Elephas maximus indicus: one gene and its partners. The protein of the gene in region 2 interacts with the protein of the main gene of each other region in a pairwise test. Links are inferred from orthologs where the notes say so. Each region holds a gene or a part of one and is shown on either strand. Other genes may lie near its edges.

The links.
Region 1: the proteins of ATN1 (region 2) and LENG8 interact in a two-hybrid assay, tested with the Homo sapiens proteins (2 studies listed by BioGRID and IntAct). The link is inferred for Elephas maximus indicus from reciprocal best matches to the Homo sapiens genes ATN1 and LENG8.
Region 3: the proteins of ATN1 (region 2) and WWP2 interact in a two-hybrid assay, tested with the Homo sapiens proteins (2 studies listed by BioGRID and IntAct). The link is inferred for Elephas maximus indicus from reciprocal best matches to the Homo sapiens genes ATN1 and WWP2.
Region 4: the proteins of ATN1 (region 2) and SIAH1 interact in a two-hybrid assay, tested with the Homo sapiens proteins (2 studies listed by BioGRID and IntAct). The link is inferred for Elephas maximus indicus from reciprocal best matches to the Homo sapiens genes ATN1 and SIAH1.

What each region holds. Positions count from the first base shown.
Region 1 is NC_064829.1:92,407,113-92,415,238, forward strand, and holds the start of LENG8 (leukocyte receptor cluster member 8), read right to left. Parts: upstream 3,180-8,126; 5' UTR 3,048-3,179; intron 123-3,047; 5' UTR 67-122; coding exon 29-66; intron 1-28.
Region 2 is NC_064822.1:63,725,553-63,732,889, forward strand, and holds the start of ATN1 (atrophin-1), read left to right. Parts: upstream 1-4,291; 5' UTR 4,292-4,508; intron 4,509-4,880; exon of another isoform or gene 4,881-7,337. UniProt on the Homo sapiens protein: Transcriptional corepressor. Recruits NR2E1 to repress transcription. Promotes vascular smooth cell (VSMC) migration and orientation. Corepressor of MTG8 transcriptional repression.
Region 3 is NC_064839.1:36,065,577-36,073,133, forward strand, and holds the start of WWP2 (NEDD4-like E3 ubiquitin-protein ligase WWP2), read left to right. Parts: upstream 1-4,463; 5' UTR 4,464-4,540; intron 4,541-7,557. UniProt on the Homo sapiens protein: E3 ubiquitin-protein ligase which accepts ubiquitin from an E2 ubiquitin-conjugating enzyme in the form of a thioester and then directly transfers the ubiquitin to targeted substrates.
Region 4 is NC_064839.1:7,689,227-7,696,454, forward strand, and holds the start of SIAH1 (E3 ubiquitin-protein ligase SIAH1), read left to right. Parts: upstream 1-3,996; 5' UTR 3,997-4,253; coding exon 4,254-4,344; exon of another isoform or gene 4,345-5,069; intron 5,070-6,344; coding exon 6,345-7,195; 3' UTR 7,196-7,228. UniProt on the Homo sapiens protein: E3 ubiquitin-protein ligase that mediates ubiquitination and subsequent proteasomal degradation of target proteins.

The DNA of each region.
Region 1 (8,126 bases), on a different chromosome or scaffold from region 2:
TCTTTCCCTCCCCGTCAGCCCCACTAACCAATCTGTGCTACGTTGATCACCCACGTTGGCCGCCATCTGGACCTTGGGGTATGAGGGATGGACCTCGGGAGCCAGACTGCTTTTTTCACTGTCTGTCAGAGAAAGAATTAGTTAGGAAGACTCAAGAAAAAGCAAGGAATATATGTTGGAGTGGGGGAAAAGAATCAGACAAGCTCATGAGAAGCCAGGCAGAACGCAGGAGTTTAAGAAAAGAGCCACTGAGATAAATAAAGACTTGAAAAAAATTCTGGATGTGGAATAAAATGCTGGAGTATGAGGGGAAACCCTTGAGCAACATATAGTGCTCCAGGGAGAAAACGAAGGATTTGAAAAGGGGACTGCCCAAAGGGGGTGAGAAGGCTCTGAAGCCCGTATAAGAGTCTGAGGGAAGCCCTGAGTGAGAAGATAGGGGGAGGTTCTGGAGGAAGGAGTGGGAAGACCTCAGTCAAACCATAAAAAATTGAAAAACCCCATGTCCGTTGCCATCCAACCAATTCCGACTCATAGTGACCCTATAGGATAGAGAATTGCCCCACGACGTTTCCAAAGAAGCGGGGCCTTGGTGGCAGAGCAGTTAAGAGCTACCATTGCTGACCACAAGGTCAGCAGTTCAAATCTACTCGCCACTCCTTGGAAACCCTATGGAGGCAGTTCTGTTCTGTCCTGAAGGGTCGCTATGAGTCGGAATCGGCTTGACAGCAGTGGTTTTTTTCTTTCTAATCTTAGAAATAAGGATGGTGACACTTCATCTCACGTACTTTGGACATGTTATCAGGAGGGATCAGTCCGTGGAGGACATCATGTTTGGTAAAGCAGAGGGTCAGCAAAAGAGAGGCAGACCCTCAACAAGATGGACTGACACACTGGCTGCAATAATGGGTTCAAGCACAGCAACAATTGTGAGGATGGCGCAGGACCAGGCCGTGTTTCATTCTGTTGTACACAGGGTTGCCAAATTGGAACTGACTCGATAGCACCTAACAACAACAACAATCTTTACAGAAGCAGACTGCCACGTCTTTTTCCGATGGAGTAGCTAGTGGGTTCAAACCTCCGACCTTTTAATTAGCACTTAACCACTGTACCACCAGGGCTCCTTAACCAAGTGATAAGGAATCTAAAACAAATTCTAGAGAAAAAGATATACTCTGAGAGAAAGCAGAAGAAATAAGACTCTCTAATAAATCTGAGTAAATCCTTAAAGCTGGGAAGCTTGGAAAGATTTCTGGGAGAGAACTTTGTAAACAGGGAAGCCTTTGAGGGATGCTTGAGAGAAGAAAGCAGGTGCTGGAATGGGGAGAACACTGGAGCATGGAGGAAAAATTTGAGAGGAAAGGAGGATTTCTGAAGTTACCTCTAGAAGCAGTGAAAAGTGAGAGCACCTGAGGGGAACTGCCACATGAAGAAGTTCTTAGAAGCCGATTTCAAAAAGGCTCCCCAAGGGCAGAGAAAAAACCTATAGGGAAGGCTCCTAGAGGCAGGAGTGGGCCTAAGAAGATCTCCTTAGTACGGGAGTTCTGGGCATAAAGCTTTGGGGACGCCTAAGGGTCGCTACGAGTCAGAATCGACTTCACTGCAATGGTTTTTTTTTTCAGAGGCCCAAACAGGAGTCCTTGGGTGGTTTAAAAAAGGAGCCCTGGTGGCACGGTGATTAAGTACTCAGCTGCTAACTGGTAGCTGTTCAAACCCACCAGTGCACTCCTGCAAAAAAGCTGTAGCTGTCTGCTTCCATAAAGATGGACAGCCTAGGAAACCCTATGGGGCAGTCCTATTCTGATACAGTCGCTAGGAGTCGAAATCGACTTGATGGCAATAGATTTTTGGTTTGGGTGGCACAAGGGTTAAGCGCTCAGCTATCAGCCTAAAGGTTGGCTGTTCAAACCCATCCAGAAGTGCCTGGGGCGTGGAGGGGGGGAGCCTGGTGATCTATTTCTGATAAGTCACATCCTTGAAAACCCTATAAAGCAACTCTACTCAGCACACATAGGCTTGCCGAGACTCAGCATCAACTACATAGCAACTAAAAACACCAACAGGCTCAAAAGAGTTTTAGGAAATTACAGAGCTGGGGTCGAAATAACTAAAACAAATCGAAGGGGTGTTTGGAAGGCAAGAGTTGAGGACTGTAATGTACCTAAGGGTGGGCTCACAGAAGAGCCCTTCTGAGAACCCAAACCCAAACCAAACCCACTGCCATAGAGAGTCGATTCCGACTCACAGCGATCCTATAGAACAGACTAGAACTACCCCACAGAGTTTCCATGGAGCGTCTGGTGGATTCGAACTGCCGACCTTTTGGTTAGGAGCGTTAGCTCTTAACTACTACGCCACAGGGTTTCCTGAGAACCCGAAAGCCCTACAAAAGGGAAAAGAACAGGAGTCTGGGGAAAGCCCTGAAGAAAAGTCTAAACGGGAAACATATCCTGGGTGGAGAATGGGGGCTGTGAGTGGCAATCGCTGGCGGGTGCGGGAACCCCGGGACAGAAGAGACCGGGGGAAAAACTCCAGCCTAGAGTGAGGCTCCCGTAGAATCGAGGACCACCTGGCTGTCCTGCAGGCCCGGGGAAGGTGAAGGAGGACGCCGGTTGGAGGATGAGACGGCCCGGGGCCCCGTGACTGGCCCCGGAGCCACCGCCCCAACCGCGCCGCGCCTGCGCACCACGTCCCGGGGAGGGGGGAAGAAGCCAGCGTGCAGGCCGCCCGTCGCCCGGAGCAACACCGCCCTCCCGGCGGAATCGCCAGGTCAATAGAGGGTGGGGTGCGTTCCGGGCTCAGGGAATTCCAAGGGCGGGGTTGGGCGCGGAGCCGACGCGCACGCGCGCTACAGCACGACCGCGCCCCCACCCCCGCTATGGCGCACATGCGTAGAGGTTAACCCAGCGCCGCCACACCCCGGCGACGCTCATGCGCGGCGTCCGTTGGTACGACGGCCGAGAAGGCCTCGGGGCCCGCGGGGCGTAAAACCAAAAGGAGATCCCCCCCCCGCCGCCCGCCCGCTCGCTTGTCGTTCCTCGTACCAGCCTCAGGCGTTTGTTCTCCGGACTCGCCAGCAGTGGCCCAAAGGAACGTGAACACGGCTGCGAGATTGCTGGGCGACCCAGCTGGTTCTCCTCTTCCTTTGGCTTCGACGTCCCGATCGCGGCGTCTTGACGTCATTAGGCGGTCTTAGCCGCCTTCCTTGCCCCCACACCGCGCAGCCAATAGGCGCCGCTAGTGTGAATTGAGCCCGCCCCCCACCTCCGCTTACGCACATCTTGCGTTGAGTGTTTTAAGGCAAACAGGAAGAAAGGGTGGAGGTGGCCTCCTGAAGGAAATGCGGCTTCCGCAGTTAGAAGCTGGTGGGGTTTTTGCGATTCGTCGCAGCCTAGGTTGAGCTCAGCCAGGGCTAGCATTTATTATTCCTATTTGTCAACTGGTATCATGAGAGGTGTAAGACTATGCATAGTACAGTGATGTGGAAGCCCGAGGAGGGAATGATTGACTCAAGAGGGGTTAGGAACCGGCTCCATCCGGATGAGGGGAGCGTTCCTAGTAAATAGACCTGGGATGGCTCACCTGGCGGAGGACCCGTGTATTCAAACATAAAAAGGCGGGTAACCAGCGTGGCTTTGGGTTGGGAGGAGGTAGTTGAATGTGGCTGCAGAATAGAATGGTGTGGGGTCCCGGAATGAGGAGAGAGGCCTGTAAGTGGGCAGGTGCAAGATGCGGAAAAAACCTGAAGAACTCGGGCTGAAGAACTTGGACCTGAGCCTGTGGGTAGTGGGGAGCTACATGCCTGAAGCCCGTCAAAGCCTGTCCTAAGTCCTCGTGCCTCAACCGTCCACTTCCTCTCATTTGCTATTGTTGAACCATTTATCGGCATTTTAAATATCCTGTTATTAATTGGGAAACCCTGCTGGCGTAGTGGCTAAGTGCTACGGCTGCTGACCAAGAGGTCGGCAGTTCGAATCTGCCGGAAGGCGCTTCTTGGAAACTATGGGGCAGTTCTATTCTGTTCTATAGGGTCACTATGAGTCAGAATTGACTTGACGGCAGTGGGTTTTTTTTTTTTTTTTTTGGTTATTATTGATTGTGGAGCCTTGGTAGCGAAGTGGTTAAGAATTGGGCTGCTAACCAGAACGTGGGCAGTTTGAATCCACCAGCTGCTCCTTGGAAATCCTGTGGGGCAGTTCTGCTCTGTCCTATAGGGTCGCTATGAATTGGAATCGACTTGACGGCACACAACGACAAGAACGTTATTGATTGTGGAATCCTTGAGTGGTGGAAACTGTTAACTTGCCCTGCTGCTAACCAAAGGTTGCCGGTTTGAGTCCGCTCAGAGGTACCTAAGAAGAAAGGCCTGGTGATCTGCTTCTGGAAAAACCAACCATGGAAAACCTTATAGGGCACAGTTTTACTTTGACACACATGGGGTCGCCATGAATCAGCATTGACTCCATGGCAACTGGGGGTTATTTTTTGTTATAATTTTTAATTACCTTTTTGAGCCAGGATTCTTAAACTCCTATGGCTAGCCTCCTTATCCATAAAAATGGGCGTGAGAATAATATCTCGTAGGGTTTTGTGGAGGTAAAATGAGTATAATCACGGAACAAGTAATAGCTATCATTTCTATGAATATCATGACTGACTTGCTTTTTATTTTTTTAGCAGCTCATGAACATCCTTTCAGGTTAGTTCATTCTTTCCGATGGCCAGATAATACTGCAGTATATGAATTCATTCATGTATTCATTTAATATGTATTGAGTGTCCACTATGGTTGTTTTTGAGGCCAAACCTCCAGAGCCTCATGCTTCTGAGTTGTGAGAGGAGGAACCAGTAAAATGCCAAATAACGGGACAGGATGAGTAAACACCACCCATCCCATCTCAACACCTTCTGCCTCATCTTTTTTTTTTTATTAACTTTTATTAAGCTTCAAGTGAACGTTTACAAATCCAATCAGTCTGTCACATATAAGTTTACATACATCTTACTCCGTACTCCCACCTGCTCTTCCCCTATTGAGTCAGCCCTTTCAGTCTCTCCTTTCATGACAACTTTGCCAGCTTCCTTCTCTCTCTATCCTCCCATCCCCCCTTCAGACAAGAGCTGCCAACACAATCTCAAGTGTCCACCTGATATAATTAGTTCACTCTTCATCAGCATCTCTCTCCCACCAGCTGACCAGTCCCTTTCATGTCTGATGAGTTGTCTTCGGGGATGGTCCCTGTCCTCTGCCAACAGAAGGTCTGGGGACCATGGCCGCCGGGATTCCTCTAGTCTCAGTCAGACCTTTAAGTATGGTCTTTTTATGAGAATTTGGGGTCTGCATCCCACTGATCTCCTGCTCCCTCAGGGGTCCTCTGTTGTGCTCCCTGTCAGGGCAGTCATCGATTGTGGCCGGGCACCAACTAGTTCTTCTGGTCTCAGGATGATGTAGGCCTCTGGTTCATGTGGCCCTTTCTGTTTCTTGGGCTCTTAGTTGTCCTGTGACCTTGGTGTTCTTCATTTTCCTTTGCTCCAGGTGGGTTGAGACCAATTGATGCATTTTAGATGGCCGCTTGTTAGCATTTAAGACCCCAGACACCACATTTCAAAGTGGGATGCAGAATGTTTTCATAATAGAATTATTTTGCCAATTGACTTAGAAGTCCCCTCAAACCATGGTCCCCAAACCCCCGCCCTTGCTCCGCTGACCTTTGAAGCATTCATTTTATCCCAGAAACTTCTCTGCTTTTGGTCCAGTCCAATTGAGCTGACCTTCCATGTATTGAGTGTTGTCCTTCCCTTCACCTAAAGCAGTTCTTATCTACTGATTAATCAATAAAAAATCCTCTCCCTCCCTCCCTCCCTCCCCCCCTTGTAACCACAAAAGTATGTGTTCTTCTCAGTTTTTACTATTTCTCAAGATCTTATAATAGTGGTCTTATACAATATTTGTCCTTTTGCCTCTGACTAATTTCGCTCAGCATAATGCCTTCCAGGTTTCTCCATGTTATGAAATGTTTCAGAGATTCGTCACTGTTCTTTATCGATGCGTAGTATTCCATTGTGTGAATATACCACAATTTATTTACCCATTCGTCCGTTGATGGACACCTTGGTTGCTTCCAGCTTTTTGCTATTGTAAACAGAGCTGCAATAAACATGGGTGTGCATATATCTGTTTGTGTGAAGGCTCTTGTTTCTCTAGGGTGTATTCCGAGGAGTGGGATTTCTGGGTTGTATGGTAGTTCTATTTCTAACTGTTTAAGATAACGCCAGATAGATTTCCAAAGTGGTTGTAGCATTTTACATTCCCACCAGCAGTGTATAAGAGTTCCAATCTCTCCGCAGCCTCTCCAACATTTATTATTTTGTGTTTTTTGGATTAATGCCAGCCTTGCTGGTGTGAGATGGAATCTCATCGTAGTTTTAATTTGCATTTCTCTAATGGCTACTGATCGTGAGCATTTTCTCATGTATCTGTTGGCTGCCTGAATGTCTTCTTTAGTGAAATGTGTGTTCATATCCTTTGCCCACTTCTTGATTGGGTTGTTTGTCTTTTTGTGGTTGAGTTTTGACAGAATCATGTAGATTTTAGAGATCAGGTGCTGGTCGGAGATGTCATAGCTGAAAATTCTTTCCCAGTCTGTAGGTGGTCTTTTTACTCTTTTGGTGAAGTCTTTAGATGAGCATAGGTGTTTGATTTTTAGGAGCTCCCAGTTATCGGGTTTCTCTTCATCATTTTTGGTAATGTTTTGTATTCTGTTTATGCCTTGTATTAGGGCTCCTAGGGTTGTGCCTATTTTTTCTTCCATGATCTTTATCGTTTTAGTCTTTATGTTTAGGTCTTTGATCCACTTGGAGTTAGTTTTTGTGCATGGTGTGAGGTATGGGTTCTGTTTCATTTTTTTGCAAATGGATATCCAGTTATGCCAGCACCATTTGTTAAAAAGACTATCTTTTCCCCAATTAACTGACACTGGTCCTTTGTCAAATATCAGCTGCTCATACGTGGATGGATTTATATCTGGGTTCTCAATTCTGTTCCATTGGTCTATGTGCCTGTTGTTGTACCAGTACCAGGCTGTTTTGACTACTGTGGCTGTATAATAGCTTCTGAAATCAGGTAGAGTGAGGCCTCCCACTTTCTTCTTCTTTTTCAGTAGTGCTTTGCTTATCCGGGGCTTCTTTCCCTTCCATATGAAATTGGTGATTTGTTTCTCTGTCCCCTTAAAATATGACATTGGAATTTGGATCGGAAGTGCGTTATATGTATAGATGGCTTTGGGTAGAATAGACATTTTTACTATGTTAAGTCTTCCTATCCATGAGCAAGGTATGTTTTTCCACTTAAGTATGTCCTTTTGAATTTCTTGTAGTAGAGCTTTGTAGTTTTCTTTGTATAGGTCTTTTACATCCTTGGTAAGATTTATTCCTAAGTATTTTATCTTTTTGGGGGCTACTGTGAATGGTACTGATTTGGTTATTTCCTCTTCGGTGTTCTTTTTGTTGATGTAGAGGAATCCAAGTGATTTTTGTATGTTTATTTTATAACCTGAGAGTCTGCCGAACTGTTCTATTAGTTTCAGTAGTTTTCTGGAGGATTCCTTAGGGTTTTCTGTGTATAAGATCATGTCATCTGCAAATAGTGATAACTTTACTTCCTCCTTGCCAATCCAGATACCTTTTATTTCTTTGTCTAGCCTAATTGCCCTGGCTAGGACTTCAGGTACGATGTTGAATAAGAGCGGTGATAAAGGGCATCCTTGTCTGGTTCCCGTTCTCAAGGGAAATGCTTTCAGGTTCTCTCCATTTAGAGTGATATTGGCTGTTGGCTTTGCATAGACGCCCTTTATTATGTTGAGGAATTTTCCTTCAATTCCCATTTTGGTAAGAGTTTTCATCATAAATGGGTGTTGGACTTTGTCAAATGCCTTTTGTGCGTCAATTGATAAGATCATGTGGTTTTTGTCTTTTGTTTTATTTATGTGATGGATTACATTAATGGTTTTTCTGATATTAAACCAGCCTTGCATACCTGGTATAAATCCCACTTGATCATGGTGAATTATTTTTTTAATGTGTTGTTGGATTCTATTGGCTAGAATTTTGTTGAGGATTTTTGC
Region 2 (7,337 bases):
TTCCACAGTTGCCACCACTTCTGTGGCATTGACAGCACCACCATTAAAGTCTGAATCACAGTGCATGATTGTGTCTGAAGAGTCTTACTCTAGTCTATTTGAGGGGAGAGAAGATGGAACGACCGGAAGTGGATTAAACTGTACTGCAGAGCTGGGGAGGGCATAGAGAGGAAGACACACTGAACAAATATGGCTGAGGTAATGGCACTGCCTAGTCCACCCTAGCCAGTTGGGACCCAAGTTGCCCCTGCCTTCTCAGTGGCAAGCTTGGCCCCAAGACCTACGTGCATTAGGGGTTCTTAACCTAGGGTCTGGAGTCCCTGGGTGGTACAAATGGTTAATTCACTCATCTGCTAACTGAAAAGTTGGAGGTTTGAGTCTACCCAGAGGCGCCTCAGAAGAAAGGCATGGCAATCTATTTCTGAAAAATCAGCCACTGAAAACTCTATGGAGCACAGTTCTACTGTCACATATGGGATCCCCATGAGTTAGAATTGACTCAGCAAGTGATATAGCCAGGATCCAGAAGTCCCTGAAAGTATCAAAGGTATAAAGCTGTGGACTGGACCAGCTCCCATACTGAGCCTCTCCCAAACAAAATCCTGGCTGGTTCTGGGATGGAGCAGGACTGTGTGGCCATCACCTCCTGCAAGATGGGGAACTGGGAAGACTGGTACCAGGCCATGTAGGGAAGGGCCTGAGGAAGCTTAAGTCCTGAATGTTCAGGACTTGAAGTGCTTGACAGGCCCTCTGGCTGGGTCAGACTGTGCATAGGGTGCCAGTATATGGCTAGAGATCCCCTGTAACTCCTAAGCTCCTGTGGAGCCCCAGCACTGGAATGCTCAGCCTAGGGACCACCCAGAGGGAGAAGGGGGTGGGCAGCCCAGTGCCTTGGATTGGGAAGGCACATATTAGCAGGTAGGGGCTGCCCATGGGGAGCTGTGGCCACTAGAGGGAGCCGATGTTCTATACGACACCGTGCGGGACACTGCTGTAGTCGGGGTGGGAAGAATTTCAAGGGTACTCTCTGTGGGCCTCCCACTCTAAGTTCTGGTCCTGGGCTCCCTCTGCTGTCTTGTACAGCTCCAGGGCTAAAAGGATTTCAGTTCTGTATAGGCAGGGCCCATTTCTGCCCTCTCCTCCTGGGTCCCTGACACCTCAGCCATTTTCAGTTCAAAGAGCTTCTTGCCCCCACTCCTCCGTGCACGTTGCAGTGTGGGCATCTCATCTTTCTTTCATTTCTGCCTAGCAGGACTTTCTGCCTCTCTTGGGGCTCACCATACTTTCTCTGTGCCTCTGTTGTCTCTGAGGTCCATGACTTCCATCTTTCTTCAGTAACTACCAGACTTATTAGGATTACTCTGGTTCTGGTTTGAGCCACATTTTCTAACCAGTGTCCTTTCTTTCCTCCCTCCTTGCTCTGTTGCCTTCTGACAGTCATGCTCCCTGCCCCCCCCTCAGGTATTGGGTTGGATTGGGTTACAGCTAGCTGTGCCTGGGCCTCCCAGGCCCCTCTCTCCATTTTCCTTTTGTGCCGTTGCCTGGAGACCAGTGGGTTGTGGGGGGCTGGGGCCAGAAAGGAGAGCTGGGGTGAGGGATGGTGAGGTGTGTGTGTAATGCTCCCTGAAGCTGGATTGTGAGCCTGGCCCTCACATGGTGAGGAATTGGAGGGGGTAGGCCCCAGTTTCTCTGCTGCCTCTCCCTATCCCCACCCCCCTCATTCCTACTTTACACCTAAGTCAGTTTTCCTTTTGGGCTCAGATATATCTGTCATCATCCTTGCCCACCTCTTCGTGGTTAAAGAACAAGAGAAATCTCAGCCTAGAAGGGAGATGGGAAGGGCCTGGGCCAGGGCCCAGTGGGAGACCGAACTGAGAAGTACAGAGGAAATGCTGTGCGGAGGAGTGGGAGGGGGAAGGAGGAGTCTTGGAACAGAGTTGAGGGGGGTGGCCAGGAGGAGTGGGGCTATCCTGGAACACTGAGGAAAGAAGTCTGGGGAGCCCAGGAAGACAGGCTGGCTTTGTCTTAGGGAGGCTGGGGAGGGATAAGGAAGGTGGGCATGGAGTGGTAAGTGACTGCTAACCAGTTTGAGGGACTTAAGAGTGGTGATTCATTCCTAGGCCAAGGAAGCCTTCTTGTTTCCATCCCCAGTGCTTTAGAATCCATGTACTGTAAGCTTTTGGGTCCTCCCAGACATGTGTTGGCTGAACCTGGCCCAGGGAAATGTGAGGCGACATCTACTGAGTTTCTACAGAGCCAACCTCCTTCCCTCTCAGATGGCAGGGGATCCTGCCAGTTCAGGGCCTAACATGGGCCTCTGGCTGGCCTGACCCCACAAAAACTCTACCCTCACCTCAAATCTGGAGAGCTGAGGACTCCTGATCCAGACTCCAGCTCCAGCTCTTCCTGTTTCCCAGCCTCCCTCCCTCCCTTTCTCTGGCCTTCCCAATCTCAGCTGCCAAAAATCACCCAGTGTCTTGGTGTCCTTTGTCCTAGGAGATGGAGCTGCTTGGTGTGGGCCCAGGGAGGGAGCCCAGAAGAAGGCGGCTTGTGGGGTGCTGTCTTCATGGCTGAAGACTGGGAATGGCTGGCAGACTGACAGCGTCAGAGACTGCCTGGAGAGCAGTGGAGGGAGAATGAGAGTCGCGTTAGAATGAGCTTTTGGTCTGTAGTGGTGATTGTCTCTACCTTAGAATGGAGTTAGGGAACCAGGACACCTAGGGATTTGGCTCCATACCAAGCCTAATCCCCACTGACCCCTTCCCTGTGGCCCAAGGTACAATCAGTGGTGACTTCAAACAGATTTGAGAATGAAAATAGAGAAGCCACCACACAGAAGGGCCTGAGGCTGGTCTCCCAGTCCTATAAGTTGAATCCCTTACCCACACCTGGACACGTCCCCTCTGTGTCTATCATTTCCTTCAAATGCTCTCCCTTCTCTTGTCTTCCCCATCAATGACCTACCTTCCTCCATATTGCCACCAAAGGCCTTGTTTATTTTTCCAATCTTCCTTAAATCCCTCCACCCAATTCTATCTACCTCGCCCTGCAAACCCAAGCCCTCAGTTCACTTAACCCCAGCATCCAGCTAGCCCTGTGTCTTCCACCCTCTTGTCCCACTCAGAACCCTAGTCTCCTCTGCCTCTTTCACCTCTTCTTAAGGCTCTTCGTGCTTTCCCTTTCCTCTTCATACTGACATTTCCTCTGGGATCTTCTCTCCAGCTTTCCTTTAAAAAGCACCCCCAAATTCCTATATTCCCTATTCCTTTCCCAACACCAATCACCCCTTAAACTCTTTACTGTCTTCCCAAAACCCCATCCTCATATATATGTCTCCATCCTTTCAATTTCTTCCCTTCTTATGACCCCAAACTTTCATCCTATTCTCTTTGGTAATAACCCCCCAAACTCTTCCCACTTCATCTCTGCCACAGACGCAATCACTCCAAGTTTCTTTCACCTTTCCTCATTTCCACACACTTCATTGTCCCCAAAGATCCTTGTAGCTCCATTTTCTCAATCTCTTTCTAACCCTTTTACCCCAATCTCTATCCCAGTACCCCCAAACTCCTCCCACTTCACCTCTGCCACAAACCCCATCCCCCCAAACTTCTCCAGCTTCCCCCATATCTGTCCTTACAACCCACAGCCCCTCCTGGCCAGCCCTACTCCCGCGTCAGGCCGGCGGCACCCTACATTCCGCCACGGCGAACCCCTCCCCGCGCCCCGGCCCCCTCGGCCTCGGTCTCGGCCAACTCACACAGCGCCTCCCCTTCTCCGGATCCCCCTCTCTCCCCCCTCGCAGCTTGCCTCGCGCTCCCTCCCTCGCGTCTCCCTCCTGGCCCCTCTCTCCTCCGTTCCTCCGCGCTCCCTCCTTCTCCCTCTTCCTCCCTTCTCCCATCCCCCTCTCCCAAGCTCCCTCCCTTCGCCGTCCGCTTTCCTGTGCGAGTCGCCGGACGCGCCGCCCAGCCCGCCCGCAGCCCCGCGCCGGGCCGGGGCCTCCAGCCGGGACCCATTTCGGGGGACCGCTGGCCTCGGGGAGCGGCTAGGAGTGGGCGAAGGAGACGACCGCCCGGGAAGGGGCGGGGGCCGCGGGCGGAGGCCGCCGAGAGGGCCGGGGATCGCGCGGGTGCGGGCTGCGCGGGGCCGGCGCGGCGGCGGCGGCGGCGGCGGATCCGAGCGGCGCGGAGGGCCGGCCGGGCCGCGGGGGCGAGCGGCGCGGCCGCGGCTTTCGGGCGGCAGGGGAGGCGGCGCGACTGGGGAGGGGACGAGGGAGAGCGGCAACGGGATTTGTTTCAGGGGACGGCGGGCGATCGGGACCAGGTGGGGAGGAAAAGGGACATGGGGGCCGCCCTCCGGGGGGGTCGGGGACGCCGCCGTCGCCGTCGCGGCGGCGACTGAAGCCGGAAAGAGGAGAGGGGGGCGGGGAGCGGCCGCCGCCGCCCCCCGGAGGTGCCGGAGCCCCGAATCCCGCCAGGAGGCAGCCAGCCGTCCCGAGCTACAACCAGGTAAGCTGTGCTGCCGCCCCGGCCTCCGGCCCGCCGGGTTCTGGCCCGCGGCTCCCCACCCCCACCCCTCCCAGCTCCCCCTCCCGCCGCTGCCGCCTCCATTTGTTATTTTCCCGATTCGGTCCCCCTACTGTGGGCACTGCCTAGCCTGAGGCTGGTGGGGGGGGGCGCTCTGGGGGTGGGGCCGGCCCCGAGGAGGGATGGGGGCCAGGGCACCCAGAGGATCTCGAAGGCTGAGAGAAGTGGGAGGGGCTCAGGAGGAGGACTCATGGGGCAAGGGGGTAGCCAGGACCCCCGGACCAAAAGAAGAGGAACGCCGAGGTGGGGATGTGGGGGTGTTGGTGGAGGAAAAACGGGGGATTGGGGCAGAGGCAGAAAAGATTGGAGAGATGGCAGCGAGGTGGGGCGTGAGGGCTCCAGGAAAAGCCTCAAAGGCCCGGAGCCTGGCTTTCAGGGCCAGGGGTTGGGGGTGTTAGGAATAGAAGGGAAGTGGGAAATGGGGAAGGGGTGTGGTAGGTGGAAAGAGAGAGATTGTGGCTGTTGAGGAAGGGAAGTGGAACCTGCGGAGATGGAGGCTCAGAAATGGGCAAGGAGAGGTCCATTTCTGAGAAGAATAATCAGGGGCTTTGAGGGTTGGGAGTGTGAAGGTGATGCCTTTGTGACTTATTTTTCTCTCCCTTACTGCAGGTCGCTTCTGACCCTGTTTTCTCAATCCCAGACACAGTTTACTTCTGGGAGAGGGGCATTGGGGCCCAGTAGTGTGGGTCTTTGTAAAACTGATGAGGAGGAAGACAGGGGCATTGAAGGGAGAGTTAAGGAGAAAGGGTTTCAAGGAGGGTGGCTTTATAGGCACTTCAAACAAGCTGTGACCCCACCCTTAAATCCCCAGAGCACCCACTGTGCTTCTAGCCATGGTCCCTGTATAGGAGAGGTCTTCGTTACTCTTTTGAGCTCTAAGGTCTCCCTTTGTGCCAGATGGATCCCTGGGATAGACTCTTGGGGGGGAGGCTACCATTTTGTTGCCATGGCAATGGTCCAGTGGGATGTCCAACTAGGTGGGGGTTCAGAATCTTGATTGGACCTCAGTGTGTGCCTGTGTCCTTGGGATGCATCAGGGCCCTAAATTCCTAGCTCTTGGCTGGGTTCCGGAGGATGTTTCTGGTGCTGCTGGTGCATAGGAGGTTCCCCAAAGGGTGCACCCCCTTCCATCCAGCAGTCTGTTGAAACAGGTAGACATGTTACTTGCAGGTCGTAGGCGTCTCCAAGTCCCTTCTCCCAGGCATGGTGGGAGAATGAAAATGCTCTCAAGTTATACCATCTTTTGGCGGTTCTTTCTGGCCTCTACCTCCCTTGTTATTAAGGACTTTTTTACACAGTAGTTTTGCTTCTCTGCACTGAAGTCCTTCTGTTTTCTTAAACTTGAATTTCTCTTTGAGTCTCCCTTCCTGAGGAGTATCTCTTTTCCTCTTTTCCAGACTATCCCCACAGTGACCCTTTTCTTCAGCTAACTTTCAAGTTTCTACTTCCCTGACCTTGTAGGAATGACTGGGCTGTCCCAGGGGAAAGGGCCGAGGCACAGCCTGGTGCAGTGGAAGTACTCTGGAATGGGAACCAGGAGACCTGGGTCTAGTCTTGGTTGTGTCTGTGACCTTGGGCAAGTCACTTCTCTTTCTTTGAGCTTCAGCTTCATTGTAAGATGAAAGGATAATAGACTAGATGATCTCTGAGGCCCTTCTGACAACCCTGGATTCTAAGGTGGTTTAGGCCAGTGCGTGCTGGTTTGGGCTGCATTGTCTTCTAGGAGACACTTTGAGCTGGTTTGCCAGTCAGGCAGGTCTGGAATGAGAAGGGCTGGGCCAATGATCCTGAAATTCACCCTGCAAATCCCTCCCAGAAAGCCTTGTGACTCAGTTGTATTTCTTCTGATATCCTTCCTATACAAAAGGAAAAAAAACCGGTTGACATCAAGTTGGTTCTTTTTCTGAAGTAGATCGCCAAGCCTTTTTTCCGAGGCACCTCTAGGTAGACTTAAACCTCCAACCCTTTGGTTAGCAGCCAAGCTTTTTAACTGTTTGCACCATCTATGGACTCCAGCCTTCTCATACTTCTCCCTTAATTTCTTTTCCTGTTCTTAATGAGGGGCTCTTTTCCTATTTCTCGCAACCCTTTTCCAGTTTCCCAATTTGGTCTATCATTTTCCCTTTGCAATACGGTAATCAAGGTGAATGTGCTTAGCGTGTTGCCAGACACATAGTAGGTGCTTTACAAATATTGAAGCCCTGGTGATGCAGTGGTTGGCTGCTAACCAAAAAGTCACCATCAGCTGCTCCTTGGAAACCCTACTGTGTCCTATAGGGTTGCTATAAGTCCAAATTGACGGCAGTGGGTTTTGATTAATAAATGTTAGTTACAGTGACTGGCCGCTAGGGCAAGGAGTGTAGCTCACCTGTTTGGTGTTAGAACGTGCCCTAGGTTCTGAAACATACATACAGTCCAATCCCAGTCCCTCCCGTCTCCCTTTATCCTGGGATTACTTGCCTACCTTTTTATGACGGCTTTACTTCTTCAATGCAACTGTTCGCTAATTTTTTCAGATTTCAGCTGATAAAAAAAAGTTGAGGTGAGGGGGAAGGGCACACGAATTGCTGTGTTCTTCAGGTACATTCTCATATTTCTTTGACCTTTTGGATCCCCTGACTGATGTGGTGAACAGGTTCTGTGATGGGAGGAGAGATGGGCGCCCTGCTGTAAAGATGAAGATCACAGCCAATCACAGTCATCTTGTGCTTTTGTTTAGATTGTTTTTCCCTTTTATTATATTGGGTTTTG
Region 3 (7,557 bases), on a different chromosome or scaffold from region 2:
TCCAACTAAATTTAAATTTCAGATAAACAATGAATACTTTTTAAGTATAAATATGTTGTTGTTGTTGTGTGCCAAAGAGTTGATTCCAACTCATAGCAATCCCATAGGACAGAGTAGAACTGCCTCGTAGAGTTTCCTAGGCAGTAATCTTTATTGGAGCAGATTGCCAGGTCTTGTCTCCTACAGAGTTCCTAGGTGGGTTATAACTGCCAACCATTCATTTAGCAGCCTAGCACTTAATCATTGTGCCACCAGAGCTCCTTAGTATAAATATATCCCATGCAGTATTTCCCCCACTTGTCTGTCAGTTTGTCATACTGTGGGGGCTTGTGTGTTGCTGTGATGCTGGGAAGTATGCCACCGGTATTCAAATACCAGCAGAGCTAACCATGGCAAACAGGTTTTGGCTGAACTTCCACACTAAGACAGACTAGGAAGAAGGACCTGACAGTCTACCTCCGAAAAGATTTAGCCAGTAAAAACCTTATGACTAGCAGTGGAACACTGTCTGATATAGTGCCAGAAGACGAGCCCCTCAGGATGGAAGGTGCTCAAAAGAGGACTGGGGAAGAGCTACCTCCTCAAAGTAGAGTGAACCTTAACGACATGGATGGAGTCAAGCTTTCAGTACCCTCATTTGCTGATATGGCATGACTTAAAATGAGAAGAAACAGCTGCAAACATCCATTAATAATCAGAACGTGGAATGTATGAAGTATGAATCTAGGAAAATTGGAAGTCATCAAAAATGAAATGGAACACATAAACATTGATATACTAGGCTTTAGTGAGCTGAAATGGACTGGTATTGGCCATTTTGAATCCAACAATCATATGGTCTACTATGCTGGGAACCACAACTTGAAGAGGAATGGCGTTGCATTCATTGTCAAAAAGAACAACTCGAGATCTATTCTGAAGTACAATGCTGTCAGTGATAAGATAATATCCATACACCTATAAGGAAGACCAGTTAATAAAACTATTATTCAAATTTACGCACCAACCACTAAGGCTAAATGTGAAGACACTTAAGATTTTTACCAACTTCTGCAGTCTGAAATTGATCAAACATGCAGTCAAGATGCATCAATAATTACTGCATATTGGTATGCAAAATTGGAAACAAAGAAGGATCAGTAGTTGGAAAATATGGTCTTGGTGATAGACACGATGCTAGAGATCCCATTATAGAATTTTGCAAGACCAACGACTTCTTCATTGCAAATACTTTTTTTCACCAACATAAATGGTGACTATACATGTGAACTTTGCCAGATGGGATACACAGGGATCAAATTGACTTCATCTGTCGGAAGAGACAATGGAAAAGCTCAAAATTATCAGTCAGAAAAAGGCCAGGTGCTGACTGGCGGTGGAACAGACCATCAATTGCTCATATAAAGTTCAAGTCGAAACTGAAGAAAATTAGAACAAGTTGATGAAAACCAAAGTATGACCTTGGGTATATCCCACCTGAATCTAGAGACCATCTCAAGAATAGATCTGACACATTGAAAACTAATGACCGAAGACCAGATGAGTTGTGGAACGACATCAAGGACATTACATATGAAGAAAGCGAGAGACTGTCATTAAAAAGACAGGAAAGAAAGAAAAGACCAAAAGGTATGTCAGAAGAGACTCTGAAATCTGCTCTTGAATGCCAAGTAGCTAAAGCAAAAGGAAGAAATGATGAAGTAAAAGAGTTTAAATAAGATTTCGAAGTGCGGCTCGAGAAGACAAAGTATGATAACAACATGTTCAAAGACCTGGAGATGGAAAACAAGAAGAGAAGAACATGCTCTGCATTTCTCAAGCTGAAAGAACTGAATAAAAAATTCAAGCCTTGAATTGAAATATTGAAGGATTCTATGGTGGAAATGGAAGACCTGGTTGTGTAGTGGTTAAGTGCTACGGCTGCTAACCAAAAGGTCGGCAGTTCAAATCCACCAGGCGCTCCTTGGAAACTCTGTGGGGCAGCTCTACTCTGTCCTATAGGGTCACTATGAGTTGGAATCGACTCGACGGCAATGGGTTTGGTTTTTTTTTTTATGATGGGAATATTAAACAACTCAGGAAGCATCAAAAGACGATGGAAGGAATACAGAGTCACTATTCCAAAAAGAATTGGTTGACGTTCAACCATTACAGGAGGTACCATACGAGCAGGAACCAATGGTACTGAAGAAAGAAATCTAAGCTGCACTGAAGGCATTGGTGAAAAACAAGCCTCCAGGAATTGGCAGAATACCAACTGAGATGTTTCAACAAATGGATGCAGTGCTGGAAGTACTCACTTGTCTATGCCAATAAATTTGGAAGACATCTACTGACTGGAAAAGATCTATATTTATGCCTATTCCCAGGAAAGGTGATCCCACTGAATTATCAAACAATATTATTTATATCACACACAAGTAAAATTTTGCTGAAGATCATTCAAAAGCAGCTGGAGCAGTATATTGACAGGGAACTGCCAGAAATTCAAGCTGGATTCAGAAGAGGATGTGAAACCAGGGATATCATTGCTGATCAGGTCAGATGGATCCTGGCTGAAAGCAGAGAATACCAGAAAGATATTTACCTGTGTTTTATTGACTATGCAAAGGCATTTAACTCTGTGGATCATAACAAATTATGGATAACATTGCAGAGAATGGGAATTCCAGAACACTTAATTGTACTTATGAGGAACCTGTACATAGTTCAAGAGGCAGCCGTTTGAATAGAACAAAGAAATACCATGTGGTTTAAAATCAGGAAAGGTGTGCATGAAGGTTGTATCCTGTCACCATACCTCTTCAATCTGTATGCTGAGCAAATAATCTGAAAAGCTGGACTATATGAAGAAGAACGGGGCATCAGGATTAGAGGAAGACTCATTAACAACATGCTGATGCAGATGAACAACCTTGCTTGTTCAAAGTGAAGAGAACTTGAAGTATTTACTGATGAAGATCAAAGACCACAGTCTTCAGTATGGATTACACCTCAACATAAAGAAAGCAAAAATCCTTACAGCTGGACCAATAACCAATATCATGATAAATTGGGAACAGACTGAAGTTGTCGGAGATTTCATTCTACTTGGATCCACAATCAACACCCATGGAAGCAGCAGTCAAGAAGTCAAAGGAAGCACTGCACTGGGCAACTCTGCTGCAAGAGACCTCTTTTAAGTGTTTAAAAACAAAGACGTCAACTTGAAGACTAAGGTGTTGCCTAACCCAAGCCATGGTGTTTTCCATCGCCTCCTGTGCATGTGAAAGCTTGACGATGAATAAAGAAGATCGAAGAAGAACTGACGCCTTTGAATTGTGGTGCTGGAGAAGAATATTGAACATACCATGGACCACCAAAAGAATGAACAGATCTGCCTTGGAGAATGTACAACCAGAATGCTCCTTAGAAGCAAAGATGGCGAGGCTACCTCTTACATACTCTGGACATGTTATCAGGTGGGATCAGTCCCTGCAGGAGGACATCATGCTTGGTAAAATAGAAGGTCCTTGGAAAAGAGGAAGACCCTCAAGGAGATGGACTGACACTGTGGCTCCAACAATGGGCTGAAGCATAACAACGATTGTGAGGATGGGACAGGACCCGGCAGTGTTTCGTTCTGTTGTACACAGGGTCATTATGAGTCAGAACCAACTCCATGGCACCTAACAACAGCAACAACATGAAATATCCGGGACATACTTAAACATCAGATGGGACATACACACAAAAAAGTGGTGTTTATAGTGGTGGAGGACATACTTAAATATCAGATGCGACATATACAAAAAAGTGATGTTTATAGTGGTGGATTATTCAATAGGCAAGGTATGCAGGGTTTCACTGGTAGATGTGGTAGAGTCGGTTTCACTACATGATAAAATTGTTCAGTACAGAGTAGCAAGCATAAGTAAGTTTGTGCTTACTTTGCTTACTGGGTCATTCACTCCTGTCAGGGAGTGTGCATTTGTAAAGAAGCTTTGATTCTGCAGGAAGGTGTTGTGGTGTTGGGAAACAGACAGATGCTAGCCATACCTAGAAGCAGAATCTTTTATGTGGTGAAAACATGTGAGATTTGTTCTCTACTGATGATCTGGTAAGCAAAGTAAGTACCATGCTTACCTTGCCTATCGGATAATCTGCCCTGATGTAACTGGGCATCCTGTATTTTTCTGGCAACCTTACTTCATTGAATCTTTTCCTCTCACCTGTGCAGGGGGGTAATGATAATACCCGCCTCAACAGGATTGATGGGAACGGTAAAGAGACACCTGGCGCGCAGTGAACCCTCAATTCATGACTGCTAGGGGAGCAGCCTGCCGATGGAAAACCCTCACACTTTGAAAAATACTAACAATGAGAAAGTCTTTCCAAGACCAAAAACACCGCTGCCAAGCTTCGGCTGCCCACACCTGCGAGCCCGGCCAGCCTCTTCCGAGTCAGGTGACCGCGCGCTCTCACGTGACCCTGCCCGAGTGAGGGCGGTGGGAGGCGGAAGTGGGAGAGGAGTTGGAAACCGCTTCTGTGGTCACGGCAGGTAGTGAGCGCGGGCGTGGGCAACGCAACCGGCTGGCGGGCGGCGCGGAGCGGGCGGGGGGCGACAAGCGGCACGGGGTGGACCGGGGGCGGCGCGGCTCGGGCGCCGGGGGGCGGTGGCTTCCTGTGGGAGGGGCCTGGCGCGGCGGTTCCGGCCTCCGAGGAGGGGTGTCCCGGCTCCTGCCCGAGTCGGTGGGCGCGCCGCGGGCCGCGCGCGGGGGTTTCTCGGTGGAGGGCGCTAAGGCAGCCAGGGGTGCAGCGGGGAGCAGGTCATTCCGAAAGATGAGGACCTTAGGTGCCCAGGGATGGAAAGGAGTGACCTTTGTGGAGGGATCAGGAGAGGAGGAAGGGGTGCTTTGCAACTGGGCTAGAACAGGGTGCGTGAGAATGACTTGGAGGGAAAGAGGGAGAACTGGATGAAGGTGCTTCCTGAACCCCGTCTGAGAGTCTCTTTCTTTCCTTCCTCTTTGGAAATGTTTGTTACCAGAGACTTTGATTCCGGTTCCGTTCAGTTTATAAACTTAAGGAGGCATCATACAATCTTGATCATTTTGCTGTCCTCACCAGCCCTTTAGTCCTGCTTGGTAGGGTTTCCACGTCTTGGGAACCTAGCCTTTCAGATCATCTTTCTTTGAGATTTTCCCAGATCAGGTCATGGTCAAGGCTTTAAAAAAAAAAAAAAAAAGTATGGGCACTTTGGCGGTAAAATGGCTTTTAGTCTAAACTGTTGACCGCAACCCAGCCCAGCATTATCTCAGCAACATAGTGTCTGCTGAAACCTGGGACGGAGGAGTGTTCACCTGTACTGCTTTATGACTTTTCATTTTTCTTAGGTCTAAATTATTCAGCCTCCCTTACCACGTGAGTCCTTATCTTGACAAACTGTAACTAGGTAGGGGTGACTGAGAGGTCTGTGTTGTGTTTGCGAGAACTCTGGCCTGAATCATGATTTTGAGGTTAAATATCTGCGTTAAAGCTCTTCATCCCTCCTCTTTCTCTTCACGTTTACCGAAATTTGCAAAAGGGAAATGAACTTCATGGTGCAGTGTAACTGCAGGGAATGTTCAAACTGGACCTTCACAGAAACAGGAATCATTTTGGGTTACAAGTTGGGAAAAAAGTACTTACGTTTATGAGTCCAAGTTTTTGGAGTATTTGACGAACATATTTAAATTAATTTTTGTAGCAGTCCTGTGAGTTAGGTTGGAAAGGTGTTATTCCCATTTCACAATGAACACAGGCCTAAGAGAGATGAATTGATTGTTAACAATTTATTGCTCGCTCTTGTTTGCTGTCCCTTTCTCCCTTTTAACCAGTTGTCATTGAGTGGATTAGACTCATGGCCACCCCATGTGTTGCAGAGTAGAACAGCTCTCCACAGTGTTTTTAAGCTGTGACCTTTCTGAAACAGATCACCAGGCTTTTGTTCTGAGATGCCTCTCCATGGGTTCAAACCGCCAACCTTTCAGTTAGTAGTCAAGAGCTTAACCATTTGCTATCCAGGGATTCCTCCTTTCTCCCTACTAGCCTACAGATACCTCAAGGATAGGGTTCATATCTTATTTGGCTTATTTGGCTGCTAGCCTTGGGTCTGGCATGTTGTAGGCACTTGGCAAATGTTTAGAGAATAAATTAATTTCTAGACGTCACACACTGGTAAGTGGCAGACAAGGGATTTGCACTCACATCGTCTATCCTTGCTCTTATCTGATAGGCTTGCTATTTTCTATTATTGATCTATATGAAAATGATAGGCATGGGAGAAAGGCTTCATTTGGCTTCTCAGTCTCTTCCACTACTTTCCCATTTACAAAGAGCTTATACAAACATCTCATTTAATCGTCACCAGGATCCTGTGAAGGTAAATATTGTCCCCGCTTGACAGATGAAGAAGCCGAGACTTAGAGATGTTTTTGCTTTAGGTCCCAGAGCTAGTGAATGACTAAGCAGGGAGTCATGCCCAGGTCATTTTATCCCCAGAGTTGTTCTTTTTCATTTATGAACATAATAAAACATTGTTTGAAAATATTTTTTTCAAGTATAAAAATACGTGGCATTTTAAGGAAAAACACTAATAATAAAGGTCACAGCAAAAATCATGCTTATAGAACGTGAATAATGGAGGTTTAGAAAACCCTGTACTGTGTCATAAAACCAAACCAGACCTGTTGCTGTTGAGTCGATTCCGACTCATAAAACCCAGAAAAACCTTATTCCGACTCAGAGCAACCCTATATATAGGATAGAGTAGAACTGCCCCGTAGGGTTTCCAAGGAGTGAATGGTGAATTTGAACTGCCGACCTTTTGGTTAGCAGCTGAATGCTTAACCACTGCGCCACCAGGGCTCCGTACTATGCCACAGTTGGCTCTTATTTCAGGGAAAATGTTGTTTTCATTCAATGACTATAAGTGCCGACTCTATGCCAGGCATTTCTTTGGAGTTGCGTTGTCCAGTATGGTGGGCACTAGCCATATGTGGCTGTCCAGTGTTTCAGATGTGCTGTAAGTATAAAATTTTGAGTATTTAGTATAAAAAAAATAACACATCTTTTTGGTATTTTTGTATTATTTGCATTACAATATGTATAGTGTAGATGTTAACATTTTGGATTTATTGGGTTAAAGGTAGATCTTAGACAATGAAAAGTTACATTTGTGGCTCCCTTTATATTTCTGTTGGACAGTGTTCTAGACGCAGGGACTACAGCAGTACACAAGAGAGGCAAAAATCCCTGCCCTCGTGGATCTTAAATTTTAGGGGGGAAAGGCAGAAGCAAAACAAAGAAGTAAATATATATTGTGAGAAAGCAGACAAGAGGAATGTGGCGTGTTGGGTGGGGTTGCAGTTTTAAATAGGGCATGTAGAAAAGCCTCCCTGGGAAGGTGATGGCTGAGTAAAGATCTGAAAGTAGTGAGGGAAGGAGTCATGTGGCTAAGTGGACTCATAGTGGTCTAGGCAGAGGGAACAGCAAGTTCAAAAGGCCTAAGAGGGAGCACCCCTAGTACGTTTGTGGACC
Region 4 (7,228 bases), on a different chromosome or scaffold from region 2:
CTAAATCAGAATCTGTGTTTTAACGAGATCCCTAGATGATTACTGTTATTGCCATTTTCAGCTCACAGTGACCCCAGGTAACAGTAGGGCTGCCCCATAGGGTGTCGTTGGCTGTAATCTTTACAGAAGCAGATGGCCAGGTCTTTCCACTGTGGAGCCACTGGGTGGGTTCGACTGACAGCCTCTCAGTTGGCAGCTGAGCACTTAACCATTTGTGCCACCAGGGCTCCACTAGATGGTTAGTGAGCACAGTGAAGTTTGAAAATTATTGTCGTCTAGGGGTGATTACCTCTGTCTTCAGTGAAACTTTAAATGTTGGATTTTTTTTTCTTCTAATTTTAGGCAAGCTCCTCTTCTCTGTGTCTTCAGATGTCATCTGTATGCCAACAACTCAAATCTCCAACCTTGTCCCTCTTTGTATATCGGCTGCCTTATGACAGCTCCTCTCAGACACTGCACAGGCATCTCACTTCTATTTGGCATTTTTCAGCATCTTGCATAGTACCTAACAGGTGCTGAGTAAGTATATGCTGTCTTTTGGCAGAATACGTGGTCAGGTTGGAGATTTGAGTCCACTCAGAGGCACCTTGGAAGAAAGACCTGGGGATCTGCTTCCCAAAAATTCAGCCATTGGAAACCCTATGAAGCACAGTTGTACGCCTGACACACATGGGGTCGTTGTGAATTGGAATCTACTGTATGGCAACTGATGCTTACTGGTGTTAGCAGGCATGGAAGCTTCAGAGTGTGGTGATTTTGGGTCGTGAAAAGCAAATGTACTTTGCTCTACACACTTGAGTTGGGGTTTTCCCTTTCCTTTACTGTATTATCATGTTTGTTCAGACCTCTATCACGTATCAGGTCCTTTGCCCCCCTGGCTTTTCCCACTCAAATCATCTCTTTTATTAGACACATAACTTTTCTTCTGTAGCCACAAAGTTCTGAGGATTATTTTCAGGAAAAAAAAAAAATAAAAGGAGTTTTTAGGAGAAAAAATACATAGTACTTAAAAAAAAATACCACATCACTTTGCCACAGGTCTGGAAACTAAAAACAGGTGAATTCGTTTTCCTCAACATTGTTATGTTTATAACGAAGTTTGATTTTTGACTTCGTGTGTTAAGCTGTTGAAGTTTTGAGACTTGCCTTAATTTTTGTCAGAGAAGAGAAGCATTTTTTAGCATTATAATTTAACCGACATTTTGTACATGCTGTGATACCTGTCCCCACCACGAGTTGCCTTGGAGTTGGCCCTGACTCATGGTGACCCCGTGGGCATTAGAGTGGAACTGTGCTTCATATGGTTTTTCACTGGCTGATTTTCAGCAGTAGATTTCCAGGCCTTTCTTTCAAGGTGCCTCTGGGTAGACTCTTAACCTTCAACCTTTTGGTTAGCACCTGAATGTGTTAACTGTTTGCACCACCCAGGGACTCCAGCTATCACCATATCATCCAAATGTAGAAGCGCCCTTTTCACAAAGAAGAGTTGAGAGGAGGAGGAAAGCCCTAGATGTTTTGGATTGAGGGATTCAGTTTAACCCAGTGATCACTAATCTGACAGCTGTAATTTTATTTTACTATAAACCTCACTGTGTGATTTCTAGGAATGTTTGGTTTGCAATTTGCTTTATGATAACATCGTGATCTCTTCCCATGTCTGACTACTTTTCTTCATTCTAAGCTTTTAATTTTAAGTAACCATTAGTTTCATATTGCTGCTGTAATACATGGACACCTTTGGAAGGAGGGGGCATTACTTGGGGGAGCACAGTAACATTTGTAAACTAAAAGGAAAGGGTAAGCAAAACATCGTGGATTAATTAGAGTAGCCAGGCACTGGGTTGTGACAAGTCAGAGAAATTCTTAGTCATTTATAAAAGGAAACAAATAACTGCCACATGAAATTGAGAACAAAAGTTTAAATCCATCTCTTCCTTCTGCTTTATGTTAATATGGCAGAGCAATAGTTAAATGGTCTGACTGTAATAAGATGCTAATATGTTTTGATTTAGGTTAAAATCCATTTAAACTTTATACCTAACTGGGTTTGATTGAAATGTAGGCTTAGAAATGGTAGGTAATAGCAAACTCTTGTTAAGTTTTGAATTTTTGCTAACTTTGGGTTCTGTGTGCTTGCCTTAATGAAATGTTTTTATGAATTTTTCTAGCTCTAGTGTAAAAAAATATTGTACATAGTTGAGAAATTCTACTAAGGTTTATTGTGCTAAAAATGAATTCAGTAAGAGCTTGTTTGCTAACTAAAAGGTTGGCTGTTTGAATCCACCAGGTGCTCCTTGGAAACTCAATAGGGCAGATCTTTTCTGTCCTGTACAGTCTCTCTGAGTCGGAATCGAATCGATGACAATGGGTTTGGGTTTTTTTTTATAATGTACGTAGAGAATCCCTGGTGGTACAGTGGTTAAGCACTCAGCTGCTAACCAGAAGGTTGGCCATTTGAGCCTACTAGCTGCTCCAAGGGAGAAAGATGTGGCTGCCTGCTGCCTTAAAGATTACAGCCTTGGAAGGCCTATGGGGCAGTTGTACTCTGTCCTGTTATAGGGTTGCTATGAGTCGGAATTGATGTTGTTAGTGGGCATAATGTACATAAATTAGCCATTTTCCCTTAATTTAGACAAAAGCCTGTGAGGCTGAAAGTATTATCCCAGTTTTACAGCCTGGATTTGAATTCAAGTTTGACTCCAAAACTCTCCCACTTTTTCTAGATTGAGGGGTTTGTCTTGTTTTCAGAGTGCTCTAGGGGTGTGTGCTGCTCCTTTGGGAGCCATCAGCTTACTTTAGATGTTAATTTTATACAGAATTATTAATTACGTTTGGAAAAGTGTCGGTGCCTAAAACGTTTGAAGTCTTCCCTGTATCCCTAAGACTTATCTAGAATGAATGGGTATTAGAAAGTAAAAATGCAGGTAATAGTAATTATATTTGCATGTGGGAAATGGGCTATATTTCTGGTTATATTTCCTATATATTCCTAATGATGTTTTGTGTAGCCTAATATTAAATAATGAGTTTGAAGTGCTTGCACCCACGATTTGGGGGAAGGGGTGATAAGTTAAACTTGGTTGCAGAAAAGTGAGCAGTCTGCGTTCACCGCCCGGGGTTCCTGGTCCTGCTGCTTCCACAGGCTTTGCTAAGCGTGATGCAGTGACAGGTTAACAGGCTTTTCTAAGCGTTATACTAAAAACCAAACCAAACCCAGTGCCGTCGAGTCGATTCCGACTCATAGCGACCCTGTAGGACAGAGTAGAACTGCCCCATAGAGTTTCCAAGGAGCGCCTGGCGGATTCAAACTGCCGACCCTTTGGTTAGCAGCCGTAGCACTTAACCACCACGCTACAGTGACTGGTTAACAGCCTTTTCTAAGCGTGGTGCGGTGACAGGTGAGACCTCTGAACGGCTGCCTGATGCAGTGATGTCGGATGCCCAAGGCTTCATTGCGGCAGGGCACGTGGTGGTTTAAAAACAAAGCTGGCCGCTGGGAGTTGAACGAGGCAGTGTAAGCTGGCTTTCCCAGCGTGGCAAGAGGCTACAAGGGCCGTTTGGAGGTTAAAGCAGGAGTTTTAATTGAAGCGTGCGCACACCTGAGGCCCCGCCCCTAGTGCGGAGAGGCAGTGGGCGGGGCGTCGTCGCGTCCCCGTGGCTCCGCCCGGCCTGCGGAGGAGCGTCGGCGCGTCCCTGTGGCACGGCCACCTCCCTGGGTGCCACCTCCCTGGGTGCGGCGGGGACTGGGCCGGCCGGCGGCGCCGCAGCTTGGAGTTCGGCATCACGGTTCGGGCGTTGCAGCTTCCGCCTACAAATGGCTCTTCTTTCCCTGTGGGGTGGACCCTGGAGAAGCTCCGGACTTGGAGAGCGCACTTCCTTTTCCAGCCACCTCTGCGCACCCCTGTAGGCCCGTCCTTTGCCCGGTCTTGGCGGGAGCCCCACTCATGAGTCTGGGGAGGACAGGCTCCCGGGATAGACGGTTTCGGGCGCCGCGGGCAGCTCAACGATGCGCCCGTGTTTGGAGACACAGGCGACTTAGAGCGAGCCCGGAGTGTGGTCGCGCCTGCTCGTGGTCGCCCCTGCTCGGGGTGGGAAACTCTGATTCCTCGTGCCTGTGCAGAGTAGGACACCTGCCGTTGTTCCTGTAGAACCTGATCTCGGGCTCGAGCTGGAGTCTTCCGGGCTTGGGAACACAAGGGGGTGTCCGGAGGGGCCTCTGTGATGAGGACGCGCCGTGAGCAGCCTGACTTCTCATGGCGGGGAAACCTGCCCTGCCTTTTCTCTACTCGTTGGGGGGAGGCTTGTTCCCTTGTCTGCCTGCAGCTAGGACAAGGGAGAGAAAAGGTACTGGCTGGGTTGCTTACATTGTGGGACTTGTATGTTGTCAAGTCAGTGGAGTCTGCCCGGATCAGCCCCACCATGATAACAGCGCTTCCCGGGGTTAGCCGGGACGTTCCATTTGATCTCGTTTTACATCAAACTTGAGGTTTTGTTGTAACTTCTGCAGGACTGTCAAGACGGTTGAGCCCTTGGTGCTTACTGCAAAGCTGCTGTATGGCTGGGGACTGACTGGGTCGCACCTTTGGAGTTCTGGGGTTTTGGGCAGCTACTTCTCTGTAACACCTCCACCACATTTCACTTGGAATAGGAATACAAATTGTACCTTCTACGACGTTTGGAAAAATAATTTGTTGTAACATGATCGTGAACTATCGGTGAATGCATAACGAACTAGGTCAAGCAATTGAACAACAGTGTTTTTCTTGCTTGGTAGCTCTATTATGTTAAATTACAATTTCAGTTTACGGGCCTTCGATGTCCTTAGTTGTATTGGTTTAGTGACCCGAAAGCCCCTGCTGGCTTGGCCTTGCTTTCTGCCCAAGCAATCACTCCGCAGTGTCCTGTTGTTCAGCGGGCGCGACTTTTAGGGTGTTGTGTGGCAGTACTAAGCCCGTTGTCTTACACCTGACAGTGGGTAGATCATCAGATGCGCAAAGAGCCTACATGGAGGGGAACTGACTGACAGAGCTCTCTGGTCCCCATGTTGGGATAGAACGTCAGGGCTTCAGGTGAGCCACGTTCTGAAGGGATTCTGCTGTGCTTCTGTTTCCCCTCAAACTTTAGGATATCCTCTTATTAACCATGGAATTGATCTTTTTTTTTTTTTTTAATACCCTTAACCTGCATTTAAGGTATCTATTGTTAATCATTTGAGTAATCTAGACCCCAAATCGTATTTACCTGGTCATATTGGTAACAAGCATTGTTTCTTAAAAGATAAATTCTTTGCAATGGAGTAACAGTTATAACTGAGAGGAATCAGTAAATTTGCTGTACCTTAGTGTAGAGTTATCGGCATTCTTAGGACAGGAGCAGATGATTGATCTTCATCATCCCTCCCCCTAGACAGTGACCTGCCATATCCTGGCAAAGGTAGATACCTGGGGAAAGGTGCTTGTTTTTGATCTAGGCTGACTAGGTATACTGTTGATCGTTGCTCCCAGGTAACATTTAGTTCTTCAATAATGTTTACTATTACACTGCTAACAAGTGTGTCGGCAGCACAGGTGAACCTCAGGGTGCAAGGAATCCTTACCCCATCGCCAGTGTTCTCTGTGCCTCTCTGGTGCTTTTATATTTTTTGATGTGGAATGAACAGAGTGATTTATGTTAAACTCATTGAGGATGGCCCTTCCATTCTCCTGTCGGCTCTCGTTTTTGAGGAGGGCACTGACCCCTAGGAGACAGGATTATACCTAGCCATGTTAGTGTTTCAGGGAGCTCTCTTAGATGATGCTGGGATGGCAGCAGGCCCTTCCTCTCAGGACTGCCTCTCCTCATCCTCCAAATATACCACTAGAACAAACACTGTTCACCCTTCGAAGCGTTCATGTCAGTACTCTGGTGGTTCCTTGGCATTTGAGCTGTCGGACTCACCTGTAACTCCTATAACTATGAGCAGCTGAAAGGAAAGCGACTGAGTGGGGTTAACTGAATTCAGAGGGAGGATTTGTGATTGGACTTAAGCTGCTCGTATGGTGTTTCCTAGTTGTTTACAGTTCAGTTTCTCTTTCAGCATTTCATTTCTTATTCCATGTGGTTTTGGAATTGGCAGTGAAGCCCATTTTTCTTTTTTTAAAAAAGCAATCCTAAACATATCCTGGAGCGTTTTGAAAACAGTAGGACCCTTAATGATCAGAATGCATATTTAGTATAATTTAACCCTATTTATTTTCCTTTGTTCTTCTCCTTATAGTAAAAAAATTTCTGGCATGTAAATATTATTTGCAAAACAAATGACAGTTGTAACTCTATTTTTATTTCTGTGTTTTTATTTTTTACAGAAATGAGCCGTCAGACCGCCACAGCATTACCTACTGGTACGTCAAAGTGTACGCCATCCCAGAGGGTGCCTGCCTTGACTGGCACAACCGCATCCAACAATGACCTGGCGAGCCTTTTTGAGTGTCCAGTCTGCTTTGACTATGTGTTACCGCCCATTCTGCAGTGTCAGAGTGGCCACCTTGTTTGTAGCAACTGTCGCCCAAAGCTCACGTGCTGTCCGACTTGCCGGGGCCCTTTGGGGTCCATTCGCAATTTGGCTATGGAGAAAGTGGCCAATTCAGTACTTTTCCCTTGTAAATACGCCTCTTCTGGATGTGAAATAACTCTGCCACACACAGAAAAAGCAGACCACGAAGAGCTCTGTGAGTTTCGGCCTTACTCCTGTCCGTGCCCCGGTGCTTCCTGTAAGTGGCAGGGCTCCTTGGATGCTGTCATGCCCCACCTGATGCATCAGCACAAGTCCATCACGACCCTGCAGGGAGAGGACATCGTTTTCCTGGCTACAGACATTAATCTTCCTGGTGCTGTTGACTGGGTGATGATGCAGTCCTGTTTTGGTTTTCACTTCATGTTAGTCTTGGAGAAACAGGAAAAATACGACGGCCACCAGCAGTTCTTCGCAATTGTACAGCTGATAGGAACGCGCAAGCAAGCTGAAAATTTTGCTTATCGACTTGAGCTAAATGGTCACAGGCGGCGATTGACTTGGGAAGCGACTCCTCGTTCTATTCACGAGGGAATTGCGACAGCCATCATGAATAGTGACTGCCTAGTCTTTGACACCAGCATTGCACAGCTTTTTGCAGAAAATGGCAATTTAGGCATCAATGTAACTATTTCCATGTGTTGAAATGGCATTCGAACATTTTCTGGCCAGTGTTTA